2 linked regions of the Styela clava genome follow. The protein of the gene in region 1 purifies or fractionates together with the protein of each later gene. This does not show direct contact. Links are inferred from orthologs where the notes say so. Each region holds a gene or a part of one and is shown on either strand. Other genes may lie near its edges.

What was found.
Region 2: the proteins of developmentally-regulated GTP-binding protein 1-like (region 1) and N-terminal Xaa-Pro-Lys N-methyltransferase 1-A-like purify together in Homo sapiens (affinity purification with mass spectrometry; 3 studies listed by BioGRID and IntAct, counting the BioPlex papers as one, with this or other methods). This does not show direct contact. The link is inferred for Styela clava from reciprocal best matches to the Homo sapiens genes DRG1 and NTMT1.

The regions. Positions count from the first base shown.
Region 1 is NC_135252.1:4,173,018-4,181,016, forward strand, and holds the start of developmentally-regulated GTP-binding protein 1-like, read left to right. Parts: upstream 1-4,723; 5' UTR 4,724-4,878; coding exon 4,879-4,917; intron 4,918-6,028; coding exon 6,029-6,152; intron 6,153-7,999. UniProt on the Homo sapiens protein: Catalyzes the conversion of GTP to GDP through hydrolysis of the gamma-phosphate bond in GTP. Appears to have an intrinsic GTPase activity that is stimulated by ZC3H15/DFRP1 binding likely by increasing the affinity for the potassium ions.
Region 2 is NC_135257.1:16,046,726-16,054,526, reverse strand, and holds the start of N-terminal Xaa-Pro-Lys N-methyltransferase 1-A-like, read right to left. Parts: upstream 3,223-7,801; 5' UTR 3,063-3,222; coding exon 2,889-3,062; intron 1,420-2,888; coding exon 1,164-1,419; intron 388-1,163; coding exon 119-387; 3' UTR 1-118. Other genes in the region: WD repeat-containing protein 44-like, read right to left, coding at 5,015-5,226, 5,628-5,761, 6,291-6,400, 6,621-6,728, 6,869-6,979, 7,352-7,459. UniProt on the Homo sapiens protein: Distributive alpha-N-methyltransferase that methylates the N-terminus of target proteins containing the N-terminal motif [Ala/Gly/Pro/Ser]-Pro-Lys when the initiator Met is cleaved.

The sequences.
Region 1 (7,999 bases):
GAAACAATGTACAAACTAGCGAAGACGGCATACTAAGCATAGCTCTTGTCCTGTAAACTATGACACTTTTAATTTAATTTCGCAGTGGTGATAATACGAACCTAAAGTTCACTTGATATCTAATATATATATTAGTTAGCGTAGATTCGAAACGTCGGATTTCCGCAAATCCTAATTTGATATCCGTGCGAGATTTTAGTATCAAAAATCCGCTGGTATTTCTTTTAGCTAGTTATTGTCAATTGCGATCTTCGCACCTGACGCACGTCCTTCCTGACTCCTTTGTTTTGCTGGGTAGTATTTTATTCTATGGAGTGCATAGAACCTCACGTTTCACTCTAACAAGTTCTACGGCCTCTTGCCATGTCAGCATGCATATATATTACTAATACTCTGAAACGATATAATGCGTAATCCAAGCACGACCTAGCCAATACAACGCTATATTCGTATTGCGACATAAGCACAACATAAACAAATGTCTTTCCTTCATTACGCGCCATTCATGCATTTATCGTCAAAAATCAGTGCAATGTGGTGCGGAAGAACGCCTCCCACACAGTAATTATCACACGGCATCAGATATTTTTCAATATCTAATTACTTGAAGCCACACCAGAAGAACCCAATACCGAATGGTATGCCGGTATCATGATTAAATAAGCCCCGCTTCAAATCATATTGTATACACAATCGCAACAACTTGCACTTTTCGCTAGTCTATATTCGACTATTCAAATACAGTTGTAAAATGTATTGAGACAGTGATATCTGCGGTACAAAAAGCAAATATATTCACATTTTCGAAGCATCAACGACTATCTGCGCCTGGTAATGCTACTTTGATGTAGTTAATAACAGTATTTAATTTTCCCCCACCTCGTCAGTGCCACCTAAAACGAAAGACGAAAGATCTTTGAAACATTGAACAATTATATTAGATTATAACCATTGTATTATATCCATATATATAAGTTGACGTAAAACGGTAAAACTTGAATTGTTTTGAATTTATACAGCTACAGGAAACGAACACCTCTTACACAACACCACACTTCCTAAATGGTCTCTGTCTAACATACAGTTTCCATTCAAAACAAAGTATCTCCTCTGTCGTAACTCTATCTTTTTAAAACGAGTTTGATATACGGACAGCCAAGTTTTCTTTGAAAACGATATGCCATAAAACATCTTTATTTTTAGAATATAAAATGACAAAACGGAGGTTCATTTTGTATCCAGTCATTAAACACCAAATTCATTTTACTTGCTTCTTACGATATAATCTAATAGTACTGATTGTAACTGAACCTATAGTTAATGACTATCGAAAACTAGTAGCAAGCTTGCCTACATTAAAGGAAATAGCTGTGATTCCCGTGAGTGGACCAAACATACGTTCGATCCGTGTTCAATGCTATACGTGACTTTAAACTACCTCTGTGCTCTGATCCTTTTTCAATTAGACATCACTGTATCATGATCTCTTTTTAGTCATATGCACTGTGTTGAAGTTGATGCTCTCTGAAATCCCCCTACTTCACATACGAATGTATACAATACATAATCGTATATATATATGATTGGGTTAGTTATACAAAATAAACATATTAACTAATCAATAAAACATTATTAGTGACAATAGGTGACCGTACATTTGAGCCCACGTACATTCGAACCCTCGTGTATATCCGCGGGTTCAATCTATGTGCGGGTGCTAAAACCCACGAGTTAGGGTTTGTATGGGTTCAAATATCCGTGAAACAAAAAAAAAATTCAATGGTGCAATAGTATGCAAGTGCATAGGTGACAATCACCTACTACAAACTACAGTTGTGGTAAATCAAGAACTTAGCGGTAAATAAAACGTTTTAAAACATTGCGCGACTGATCGTCAATAGAAATAAAAGATGTCAAATTGAAAAGATCTGCATCATTGCAGTGATTTAACGCTCGCTAAAGGTTGTCTCGATGTTCAAATTTGTATTACCTTTAAAATCGTGATTATGGGTAACTTCTAAGAGTGTGTTATGTATTCATAGCTAAGGTAGTAATAGCCTACAACAGTGACAATCCATCAATTTATTTTCCAAAGAATAGCTAACGTCGCACACGTTAAAATATTTTACTCAGCAAAGGTCACTGATGAGTAAGCACGCTACGAAAGGTCACTGTCGACAGCAACGGCGAAATGCACATCCCTTATAGTTATACTTTAAATATGCTGAAATAGTTTACCTAACTAAGACGTACCGGAAAAAAGGAGGGTATGAGGAAATGCTAATATATAAAATAACGTTCCCTATACTATCAGAATGACCAATAGTTAAATAGTTTACTGATTTTTCCAGTATTAACCCAAAACGTTTCTCTTGTTATTACCATACTAACCACACACGTCTCTACTCTCTTTCTATGTCCCGTGTGGTCTTCACTCACGGCCATTATCCGCTGACTTCAATAGTGCATTGTAATTTCGTATATCTATCATAGATTGCACTCTGGACAGCACTTCCTCTTTAAACCTTGTTTCTAGTGTCATGTTCTGTTTATTGTATAACCTCAATCTATCTAGCACTCATACATCGATTCTTGTTACGTATGACTAAGCACAGTTGCATGGATGAATTAAACAGCTCACCATTCGAATTTACGGCGTGGTCTGATTCACTCTACTACTTCCGGTCGACTTCTGGCGCCTTCCATTTTATCCTATTATACAAGTTATGTGCAAGTTCTTGAGATGTATCGATACAAATTTTGCCGATGTTTTACCGATTTTTCGGAAATCGGGAAATGCCGAATTTTTAAGTATAAAGGATAAAAACAGACGATATTTTCAAATAAGTTTAGAAATGTCGGTCGGTAAAATTACTAATGCAATGCATGTATTACCAAAACGAACGATGTGCCAATATACCGGCACATATCTGACCCACAGCATGACCAAAACTCAATATGAAATGTAACAGCAAAGGTCAGATCGGAAAAATATATTTTTGCAGTACTAGATTTTGTGGCAGTTTATGCATTAAAATCGATTGAACGAACATTTGTTTGGATAATCAGCTAAACATGGAGTTTTTTTTATTTTTCATTTCTCAGTCAAACGTTATATTTTCAATTTTAAGTTCGTACAAAGATGAGGCGGACTTCAACAGGACAGTATCATCTTCAAATAGCGATGAACAGAAAGTATATGCAGCTGGAAAATCATTCGTATAACATAAAAATAGCAGAGGGCCAATTGTGGAGCCATGTAGAACTCCGCATTTGATGATGCCCATTTCAGATACATATTCGCATTCTGAACATATTGCTGACGACCACGCACATATGACGCCATGAGATTAAGTGTATGCCCTTTAAGCTTTAACACTGTAATGGCGTAATTTATTAAGAAAGATTAAGTGGTTAATCGTATCAAATGTTTCCTCAATGTCCAAACAAATTGCGCAGGTGATCTCGTTGTTTGCACTGTTATTCAATATCATTTCCTTAAGCTTAGATATACCTACCCGTAGTTCAATTGAATAACTGTTTTTTAAACCAAACTGGGACAGATTTAAAGCGCTGTTTTTCTCAAAATAAAAAACTTTGATTCGACTATATAAAATATCCTCATACATTTTCACAACTTTCGACAGTGAAGAAATAGGCGCGTCGCTGTGACTCATCGTGCCAAGCGTTAGGAATACGCACGCCACCGTACCTCTGATTACTCTGCGTGGGTTCGCAGTTTCGTATCCCATACGGGGAGGGTTAGTGCGAGATGAATGTTAGACTTTTCGCCGCCGTGGGGTGGTTCACGTAACCGCTGGTCGGTTACGGCTTCCTCCACCATCAAGCCCATACTTCCGAAAACAAATAACTAACTAATCCCATACTCGACATGGAATGGTAACCGGACGAGAGACGAAATAATAGGTATGTTATCTTAAGCCGTCTAATCATTTTTATGAAGTGGCACCACCTTTGCTATTATTTAAATCTCTGGGTACACACTTGCATGGAAAATTTGATTAAAAATTGGGAAAAAATAGGTGACAAAACAAATTTGGCAATTTCGAATTTTTTACAGGTATTTCATTGCTACCGGCATCTTTACTTTCATTCAATTTATCAATTTGCCGTTATCCACTATAATATGTGATGGTAATTTGATTTTCTTTGATGAAGTGCCAATTATTATGAGTATTTGATTTCATGTTTTAGCAATGTAGTTTTGGTAGCGAGAAAAGACGTTTTTTATAACCATGTTTGTTCGTATGTATATATATGAAAAATGCTATCCTTAAATCCTGATGAGCTAGCACCATGTCATAGTCATAGTCAAGTTTATTTTTTCCCATTCAGTAAAAAAATAACATACGAAATTAACAAAATACGAAACTGAAAACACATTTTTACTGGGGAAGGGAAGTCGCGGGGAACCAGGAATGGTTATCGAGCAGCGACACCCGGCAACCGCCGAGCTACTTGACTACGGAAAATTTAAAAGCAGGTTAAAGATTACCTTACCGCGGTTTATACAACAATATTAACAACCAATATTCAAAAGCCCTAATTCACTTTGAGTCGAATAAAGCATAGAGTGGATATAAAAAATAAGTTGAAATTGCAGCTCGTGACGCCCAGATACCATTTTGAGGCACCTGAAAATTTGTAGTGGCAGATACCGCGGCGTGCTTTGTTCTCGAGAATGGTGTGGTGCCACAGTGCCACACATGCTAGGTTCAAAGGCTAGGTTGGTGTGTTACTTCTCTTCCATGCGAGCCGGGCTTCGTAATCAGTAATTTATTTTTCCACCAATACTGAAAACTTCAGAACTTCCGTTTTTACTTAATTTTTGCATCGCTTGCGTCATCCGTATAGATAATGTCTATCCTACAAAAAATTGCAGATATAGAGTCGGAGGTGAGTGAGTATTCCAGTATGTATGAAATGTATGTATGAAAACCTAAAACGTCCAGAAGAAATTGAAATTTCGTGTAGTTTCGTACCCCAAGTGCGGTACCGGTGCATCTGGCGCATAGTGGGTGTAACGATGTCAATCCTAACCCCAGAACCCCCATGTTATGCTACGCCCACTAGAAGTACCTGAGGTACGAAACTACACGCAGGGGGCTGCACCACCCACATGTTTTGTGTCATTGTCCTATCAGTTGTTTTATGGGGTTTCAACAAAATTGCACAAAAGTTACACACAAGACTTAGAACTTAGTGGATATAAAATATATAGTAAAATATAGCGTGACACTACAGGGCGGCAAGACACACAAGAATTAGAACTTAGTGGATGTAAAATATATAGTAAAATATAGCGTGACACTACAGGGCGGCAAGTCCACCCTGCGTTAATGCTTCGTTGTGTTGTAAATTGTTGCGATAGTACAGCCGGAGCCCATAATATTTTCTGTTGCAGTAGTTCAGTAGTTGAAGGACGCGTCTACTGCTATATGTGATGCTAAAGTTACTTAATGTAACACTGTAGATCCATGCTGGTAATGTGCTCTACGGGACATTTTTTCACTCCGGAACCGCAGCCTCTAACATCTCTTAAAATTTTGGTAATAAATCTTTAAATAGGAGAAAACATGACCTACAGCACTGCAAACTCTTAAGTCTTATCAACTTAAGTTCAGTACGTCTATTTGAAATGAAATAACTGTAGGCCTACCAGATAATTAAACGCTTCGTGTTATGAGTCATCACAAAACATGTCGATTATATCAAAATTTCTACATTTCAGGCCACTTTGTGTAAATCATCAAAAACCTGAGGGAAATTCTGACTTTTGCGGTGAAATGAACGCAGTCCAATAAAATTCAAGTGTCCTTAGATATAAAAAATACAAAACAATTACTTTCCCTACACTTTTGAAAAAATGGATGAAATTCAACAGTTGCTGAGTATGGCCCATATACTGCTATGCAATCAATTCTTAGGCATGTTTAAAACATCAGTACATACAGACAATCAAGATTGTTTTTTAATACTGCAATAGCCTCTGTTTTTACATTGCTAGATGGCAAGAACACAGAAGAACAAGGCAACTGCTGGGCATCTTGGACTTCTCAAGGCCAAACTCGCAAAGCTTCGAAGAGAGTTAATCACACCAAAAGGAGGAAGTGGAGGAGGAACAGGGGAAGGTAATTTCATTCATAAGCAACCTACTGACCTAACGTGATATAAATGTAATTTCGAAAGTCGCCTCTAATAGAATTTCATAAAAACTGAAATAAGATTCAAAGGGTCTTGATGATTACTGAAAGAGTTATGTATATTTTTAGTAAAAGTGAAAATCAACTTGATTTCAACCTCTGGATTATTCGAAAAAGCAGAAAGAGGATGGGCGGTCATGGTTGTTAATAATCATTGGTTCGTGTATATTACAAACACATATGTACGTGATCAATAACCTATATCAGTGGTTTTCAATGGTTTTGGTGGAGTGGAACCCAACTGAATCATTCCAGAGACTTGAGAAACCCTTGTGTAATCCTTAAATTGCAACTTTAATAATAGCGGTAAACCTAATATGTAGGATATATGAATATATTTGAAAACCAAATATAGATTCTCTGATTTGAATATAAACTTTTCGAAACCATGAACTGTGCTGCCTGGAACCCTGGTTGTGAACTACTGATCTAGAGCAGGGGTTCTCAAACTTTTGGTGTTGCGGAGCCCTTGGAAAGGTTGACTATTATTCACGGAGCCCCAAAATAAATGTTAAAGTTCTTACTTTCAGATTAATATTCCTGAGCAAGTTAAAGGTACTTTACTTAATTTAAATGCTGAACCTTAGAGTTAATACAAGTCATACATAAATCTAAATTTGAAACATAAATTATATATACACTAAAGCTGTAAATTTGACACTTGACAAACATATTGATAAATAAGGGGTCGAATCTTTTCCCTTTTGACATTTTTGGAAGACTTAAAAGGCCGCTAATAACATGCGCAATTGCATTTTGTTACAATCGCCAATTTTTTTCGTCAGCATGGCGTGTCTTTGAACCTTTTAACATCTTTACGCCGGTGTTTATTCTCCCTAAATCAAAAATTTCCCTCGGCATATATATACATGTATAGTTACACAATGACGACGTTATTCGCTTTTTTGTTCTCGTGGGGAATTATGAGTTCAATGTGAAAAACATGTTACCATATTATAGTCATCGTTACGAAATGCTAAAAATAATAATTAATAAAGAGATAAATCCGCAACTCAAATTTCTTGATTGAAAAGCGGCATTCTAAAATAATAAAACTAAAACTTAAAATGGAAGATCACAGGTTTGGTTTCAGCAGACTCACCTCAGATTGAAAATGTATTTATAGACATTGTAAATCACAAAAATTGGTGTTATGTTAGGTTTTCATCGTAGTAACTGCGAAATCGAAAAAGAGTCAATTGTGCGCGCGTGCGTACCTTTTCCCCCATTATGAAACTACCGACGGAGCCGCACGCAATCAATTGTGCGCGCTCCGCGATGTACCTTTTTTTCATTCTGAAACTACCGACGGAGCCGAATGCAATAAAATAAATTTCAATTGTTCGTTAAATGCTCGCATCGGTCATGGATTAAATATTTTACGCAATAGAAATCTCGTTATCCGTTTTTTTTTAATCGCGAAGAATGTTGCGCGGAAATTTCCGATTCCAATTTTGAACCACCACCCTCTTAAGAATCCTGGCTGCGCTCCTGCTTATAAATAATGTAATTTTTTAATTCCGCCTCTTTGCCATATTTCGAGGCTATTTCGTTGTCAGATTTTATCAAAGCTGTTATTGCTTCTTATTAGAACAGTTACAAAACTAGTCAGTATTTTGAAAAGTAATCCAATAGCTCGCGGAGCCCCTGGGTTTCTCTCGCGGAGCCCTGGGGCTCCGTACGGAGCACTTTGAGAACCTATGATCTAGAGGCTCGACTGGGTGCGATAAAGTTTTCTTTCACCACAAATAATTGTGGATTTGAATAGTCCATTC
Region 2 (7,801 bases), on another chromosome or scaffold:
ACATTTTGATCAGTATTTGTCATTTATCAAGCTATAACATGCAAAATCCACCAAAAAACAGGCTATAAAGCTACAGTATGCAAATAAAAAGCATATGAGGTGAAGTCCAAAAACTGTGTCATGAATCTTCTTTAGATAATGCAAACATAAAAACCTTATATAATTCTGCTGGAAAGTTAGTCTGATGTTCTTCTTTTACAATCTTCATTCCTGCTTGTTTGAATATCCCTCGTAGTTGTGCATGTGTTCTTGTGACACTGCTATCAACTTTATCCCATTCCACATCACCTGATGAGATATTGTCTTTCAATATTAGCAGACCACCAGGCAAAAGTGCATTCTGGCATTTGCGTAAAAATTCTATAAAGTGAGCATCCGTCAAATGTCCTGCATAAATAAAAAAAAGAATTTACGGTACATAGTTTTCGTATAAAGGCTGCTATTAAGTGAAGTTTTCAAGACAAGTGTTGAATATGAGAGGCTAGAACTAATAGAAAGATAAAAATAAAATTTAAAAAACATGTCGTTTTGTAACATTTAAAATTCTATTTGAAAAGTGGTCAATATCAGCAAACAGTTGCTGTTAAACAACAGGCTTGGATTGAGCATGATGTGAAATATTGAACTGTGGTGTGTTACAATGATAATGCTGGGAGCAATTAACAAATAAGTGGAAAACAAAGTTTCTGTTTACGGTAGACAACCAACAGGTAAACATGTTTAGCAAAAAAAACGTGTCACAATTTTTGATTTAAAATTAGCAAAATTCTGTATATGTGGTGTGTTACAATGATAATGCTGGGAACAATTAACGAATATGTGGAAAACAAAGTTTCTGTTACTGGTAGACAACCAACAGGTAAACATGTTTAGCAAAAAAAACGTGTCACAATTTTTGATTTAAAATTAGCAAAATTCTGTATATGTGGTGTGTTACAATGATAATGCTGGGAACAATTAACGAATATGTGGAAAACAAAGTTTCTGTTACTGGTAGACAACCAACAGGTAAACGTGTTTAGCAAAAAAACCGTGTCACAATTTTTGATTTAAAATTAGCAAAATTCTGGATAAACAACATGGCCCACAGAATCCAAAGAAAATATGAAAAAATATCTTTCTAGAAAACAGATTATAATACAAACTACTTCTTGAAAACGCACCTGTTACCCATTGCACCCAGATTAAATCATAAAAATTTGGCTTCAAATTTACATCCTGTAATCCAGCACAGATATATTCTCCCACTTTCTTCGACAATTCAGGTCCTAAATAACTCGGTGCTTGCTTGAGAAATTCACCATTTTGTTCCAGAAGGTCGACAGTGTCAAAAATGTGCAAAAGAAATAATTTGGATACTCTTCCAATTCCTGCTCCACAATCTAATGCTCTCTTATGACGTAATCGCGGATTTGAACCCTGAACAAATATACTATACTTGAATATATGGTGGTAAATGATTACCAATACTTGATTCCTCCTCTAGATGAATGAAATTTCCATACTACATGCTAAATTTTTTTTTTATATAAAATTATAAAAGCAGACGATTGTTACCATCTTTTTTATAATGTTGAATTTTTTCCAACACAATAAGGGAACAAGAGCAATCATCGTTGAAAAAAATAGAATCTCATCGGTTGGGTATTATTATCCATTCATCCATTTAATAATGTGAGAATAGTCTTACTGTAATAATAGCAAAAATTGCTGTCATGCCTGTGTTAATTGAAGGGCTTACATTTTAAAGCAATAAACTGTGAAATAAATTAAAAATTATATTTTTTAGTGGCTATAATAATCCTCAAAATAAATTATTAAGTTATACTGAACACATCTTGGGTCTGGTACAGTTTAGTACCACATGCACTTCCAGTCGGCCTGGCTCAACAATTTTTGCATATGTCAATCCTAACCCCCACCTGACTACGTCACCGAAAAATTACGTCATTCCAACGTCACAGTGGCGTAACAAGGCCCACTAAAGTATGCAGATGGTCGTGCAAAGCGCGCAGACGATCACCGGAAATCGAGCAAGCTATTTCTCTCGTTTTCTTGTCACAACGATCACGATAGGAGAGAGAGATCGCCGGCATTAGCAAGTTCTTTAACTGCGGTGCAGATGCCATTTCGGGCGATCATAATTATACTTTGGCAAAGGCCTATGAAGTGGTGCCGGCGTAATGAATGACGTAATTTTCGGATGGCATAGTCAAGTGGGGATAGGAATAACATATGCAAAATTCGTTATGCTACGCCCACTGGAAGTACTTGTGGTACTAAACTATACTAGGGTCTCGTGTAGTTTCGTACCTAACGTACTTCTAGTGGGCTAGCATAACAATTTTTTGATATGTCAATCCTAACCCCGATCTGACTACGCCATCCAATTACGTCACTACGACATCCCAATCACGTCATAGAGCTTGCCAAATACACGTACAATCGCCCGAAATGGCATTGGCGCCTGCGATAAAGAACTGACTGACGTTATAGATCTCTTTCCTATTGGAATCGCCGCGACGAGAAAACGAGAGGAATAACTGTTCGATTTCGGGTGCTCGTTTGCGCGTCTTGGATGGCAGTTCGTATAGTTTGAAGGGCTCTATTACGTCACTGTAACGTCGTGTTGACGTAATTTTTGGATGGTGTAGTCAGGTGGGGGTTAGGATTGATACGTGAGAAAATTGTCATGCTACGCCCACTAAAAGTATGTTAGGTACGAAACTACACGAGACCCCTGTACTAGACCCCAGATCTTGACATCGTATTTTGTTTTTCTATTGGCTAATTTATTAGTTATAAAAATAGCAAAAAGCTAAAAACAAGTGATTTCTACTGGTAGCGAGTGATAACCTCCTTCAAAATATGAGTCAGTACAAGCAAACCTGTAGAAATTCTCTTAAAAATTTTCTAGAACCAAGAGCATCAGAAGTTGAGATATGGCTATAGCCTCCAAGCATTCCATCCAGGGTAGGTGTTATTGTTTTCCAGTATTTGTCAGCTTCCTCGTAAAAGCTTTTTTCTGAAGATACCTCCTTACATCCTTTGATCAAGTCCATCTCTCACCGGTCATTGCAACCAACGTTTTGACAGCCGTTTCCGCCACGCACACCACCACCGCGTGAAGTCAGCGGAATCACCTTGAAGTTTTGTAACCACAATTCCTAGCAGTGTTCACTTTCAAAATATTACATTCGGGGTACATTAACAAGGCTTATAAAATGGTTCGAATAACTTCAGTACTGTTTAAAAGCGCCAGAAGTTAACAGTTTAAGCAGCATTTTGCTGTAACTTCAATGCTGTTAAAAAGCATCAGTCGTTAATCATTTAGGAAGCATTTCAGCGCAACTTCAGACCTGTTGAAAAGTATCAGTTGTTAAACGCTTAGGTAGGGCTTCACCAAAACTTCAATACTCATATTGGAACTAAATTTTTTAGAACGCCCCTTATAACGGCATTCGTTAAATATCGATAGTTTTTGCTTTATATCTTTCAAACTAATATGGATTTTCTACGCTCTAAAGATAGGTTTAATTTAATGAACGGTACTTTTAAATATTTCAACTGTTAATGTGTCGATATTAAACGAAAAAACGAGACAAAATCGTAATTTTCACGGAGAAATGCGGATTACTTTTATCATTTTGAAAATATTTCTATCTCTAACGTCCGATAATTTAAAAAAAACAGAACTGAATTGGTTAAACACACCTATTTTTATATTTACCTACTGTATTGTACTTTCATTTCAAAAGACAAAATTTCTACTCCTAATGTTGCATATTTTAGCGCACAGCTACTGGCATTTTATGGGTTGCTGTTAGAGAGTTATCCTATTTTCGAGGAAACCTCTTGGTACGCAGCATCATCCGAATGTTTAGAAATGCTTGGTGCTCTAAAAAATGATCTACGATCAAGATAATGAAGATCCAAGCAATTCAGGAAGGTAGATGAAAGACACATGAATAATTCAGAAAATCTTTATTTGCCAAGAAAAACAACAATGGAAGGACTAGAACCACTAGAGTACTGCATTAAATTTCATTATTATGAAACGGGAAGTGACAAACTAAAAAGTAAAACAGTATACAAATAGCAGAAAACTTGTCAACACTCGATTGGCATTTTCAACGTATAACTTATAAACTGTCTCGTTGCTGTTATATTTCTCTCACAAATAAAGTCTCCCGAAAGCTACATAAACATCAGGAATATAAGACATTACTATATTGCACGCTGTGTTAAAGCCATACATCTAATATGTCTAAAATGCACAAAAATGTTTAGTGCTTTGCTCTCAGAATTTCAGCAAAATGAAAACATACTAAAAAAAACAAGTACGTATAGGACTGAATCATAGAGTCAAAAATTATAGGGCCAACACAAAAATCAATCCTTTTTAATTTGCAATCAAGGGAGAAGTAGAAAAATTAGGTGAGACCGCTAAACTCTCTGTGGTTATTGAAGCAGAGTTTCTCAAACTGTGCCTTCGGCTCCACCAGGGAGCACACTCAGCACAGAGAGGTTATCTGAGGCCACAAGCAAAAGCCTTCTCATATATACCATTCATGACTACATAATTTGAAGCGAAGATTCATTTATTTCTTCGACTGCAATACATATATTCTTTCACTTCCGTTAAACATGGCGCATAAATAAATTATGTAAATGCGTTTAAAAGCAAAATAAAATATTTTTATAAAAGAGAAGGCGACCACAGATTATGATAACCACCACTCCGTGGGTTACGTGCCTAGCATTGAATGCATCCTGCCTATTCACTTATTGCACTGCAATCAGATGAGCTGTAACTGATTGTATAATCATTCAGAGGACTTGATAGTTACATACATGATTTCTTTTTGTCATTCAATTACAGGACTGCAACATTATTTTGCGACTTTTTTCTAAATTTCGAACAGATAAACATGGACAGTACTCAATTCCACATTGAAAATTTGTGAAGCATATGTAAAATCAGCAAAATGAAATGAAACACAGTAACTCTTCATCATTGTCCACTGACTATTACTTTTATGCAACCATTAAAATCAGCAGATACAATTACGTTGACTTCTTGCGGATGTTTTTTGGAAGATAAAGATAAAATAGATTGCGGTTTTGATTTGGTTTTTGTCTCTGTATTATTATCAGTATCGTCGTTTTTGTATAAAAGCTGTGGATGAGGAGCAAAGACGGAACAAGTGACGACCGCATCATGAGCTGCAATGAAAAATAAGGTTACATTTGTATATTCATTGGAGAAAGAAATGCTTTAATAGATTTAAATATGGTATATCAAGTCAATGTTATTATTATCATGATGAAGGCAAAGACGATAAGAACAACCATGTCATAAAGAAAACTGCAGCCTCCTGCCCAGTTTGGATATGGAAAAAAGCTAATCGGTAAAAGTTAGCTGTACCTGGACAGCAAATGTTGGCAATCCTTTCCCTCCCTATGAAATTAGATCCCATAATTCACAACTAAATTATCAGACATTCAGTTGCAAGTGGGTTGTAATGCTCATATTCTGATGTGAGCCTGATTATATCTCTGATTATATAACTGTGATAGAAACATGTAAGCACTGTTTTGGAAAGCGATTTTATTTCATTCGATACCTTTCATACTTTCCCAGGAGTCATTACGATCTCTTCGCAGTGATGATAGTTTAGTTACATCCTGTGGTAAACTGGTTCTCCACATGTACACACATTTATCTTCTGATCCACAGATGATGTACTTTGAATCAGGACTAAAATAACAAAACAACAACTTGGTTGAATTGAGCCTACAAATTCCATTATAAAGGAATTCCAGGCTTTTCAAATATACCAACACTTCAATACCACACTAATATTTAAAAAAAAAAAATAATCTGTCTGAAAATTTCACATGAGTTGAATTCAAAATAATGATGTCTAATTCCTCAAAGAGATAAATGCCAACATTTTGTAGAAAATACCCCATAATTTTGATACTAACATACATGAGAAACCATAAAATTATGAAACTTTTTTCATCAATAATTTGCCTCAAAGAATAAAGGCAATAAAGAGTAATAATTCCATACATAGAAACGATCAACACCTCAAGATGACTATAAATTGGACAGCGCTTAACATAATCATTGAGATACAGACAGACGATGTTAGTTTGGCAACAACCAATCCATGTTCTGAGCTAACAACTAATAAAGAAGTTGTCATTTTTAACCAAACCAGCCTAACCGAGTGCAGAATATTATACAAATATGCATAATTCAAATATAATAAAAAACAAACCTGAAACTGGCTTTAATTTGACTGCTAAGATTTGTGTGTCCTTTGTATTTACAAACTAATGACAAATCTCTCAAATCATATAGACGTACTCGAGAATCATTTGACGTTACCTAAAATGATAGTCAAAAATATATTTTATCCAGTGTATCTAAATATTTTTTAGCCTTTGCAGATAATATTCTCTGAGATGAGGAACTTTGAAAAAGGGCAGAGCATGGTTTCATTATGAGGAAAAAACATTTATTTTCAAAAGAAATTCAAATATGAGTTGACTAAAACTTATCACGAATCTAACAGCACCAAATACAAGAAATGGGTTCTTATTCTTACCAAAATTTTATGTTCTCCTTGCAACGGTTCTATTCCTGTAATTTTGTGACCTTTCGTATTTCGACCTCTGGATGACCGAACATGGATTTGTGTGTGATATTTCAAGTGCTAGATGACAAAAAAGGAATAAATTAATTCCCTTCTACACATCATTATCATAGTGCAATCATTATCCATTTCTAACATCAACTGAACATAGCAATAAGGAAAGTGAAATATTGTCAAAGGCAATGAAACATACAACTCACCTCTGTATCAAAAAATATGCATCTTCCATCATAAGTTCCGCATACGGCAAATTTACCATTTTCACAAAAATTAACTGTTGTGATCAATGCTCCTCCAACAGAGCCTGATGACTAAAAATATTAATACTTTCAGAAAAACTCATATAATGATAAAAAACCTTAACTTGCTATCGAGATAATAAATAAAACTGTTAAATAGTGCATACTATGTTAAACAGATGTATTTTTTCGAAAACAGACACTGTCAAAATTTCATTTATAAACTCAAGATTTTCAACATACGGTGCCAAGCATGGGCAAGAGTTACACACCTTTCATGCACATAGTTACATACATAAAATGTCTGACAGATAATGAAAAAATTGATGATGACGAGCAAGATGCACAACTCGCGAATGAAAATCATTAATCTTAAAAACGCTTCAAAGGACATCCAGATTTAGAAAGGTAGAAAACAATGTTTATAATTCAATTTTAACATACTGATGATCCATCAGGAGATACTTCATTCCACAGTGCTACTTTCTTGTCTGGTATATTCCATAACCTTAGTTTGCTGTCTAATGAACCACTCAGAAAATACCTGTCATCCTGAAAAAAACAATACAATATATTATCAGACAGGCAAAAACCCTGCTGCAACAAAATTATTCGACAGTTTATATAAACAATGACAAAGCAATTACGACAAACTCATTACCCAATGAAATTTTTGATGGAGGCTCTGTCTGAACAAGCTGTCATAGTATCAGAAGGGTCAATAGCATACCAAAATGACAACAACCTGGTGAGGGCTATAGCTTGAACCAAAATCTTATGACCCATCATGCGAACCTTCACCTTTTCGTCGTGTTAAATACAAACTCAATCAACAATAAAGTTCGGTATTTTACAGACCATGGAGAGCCCCTAGTTATAAGGAACGCCATAAAA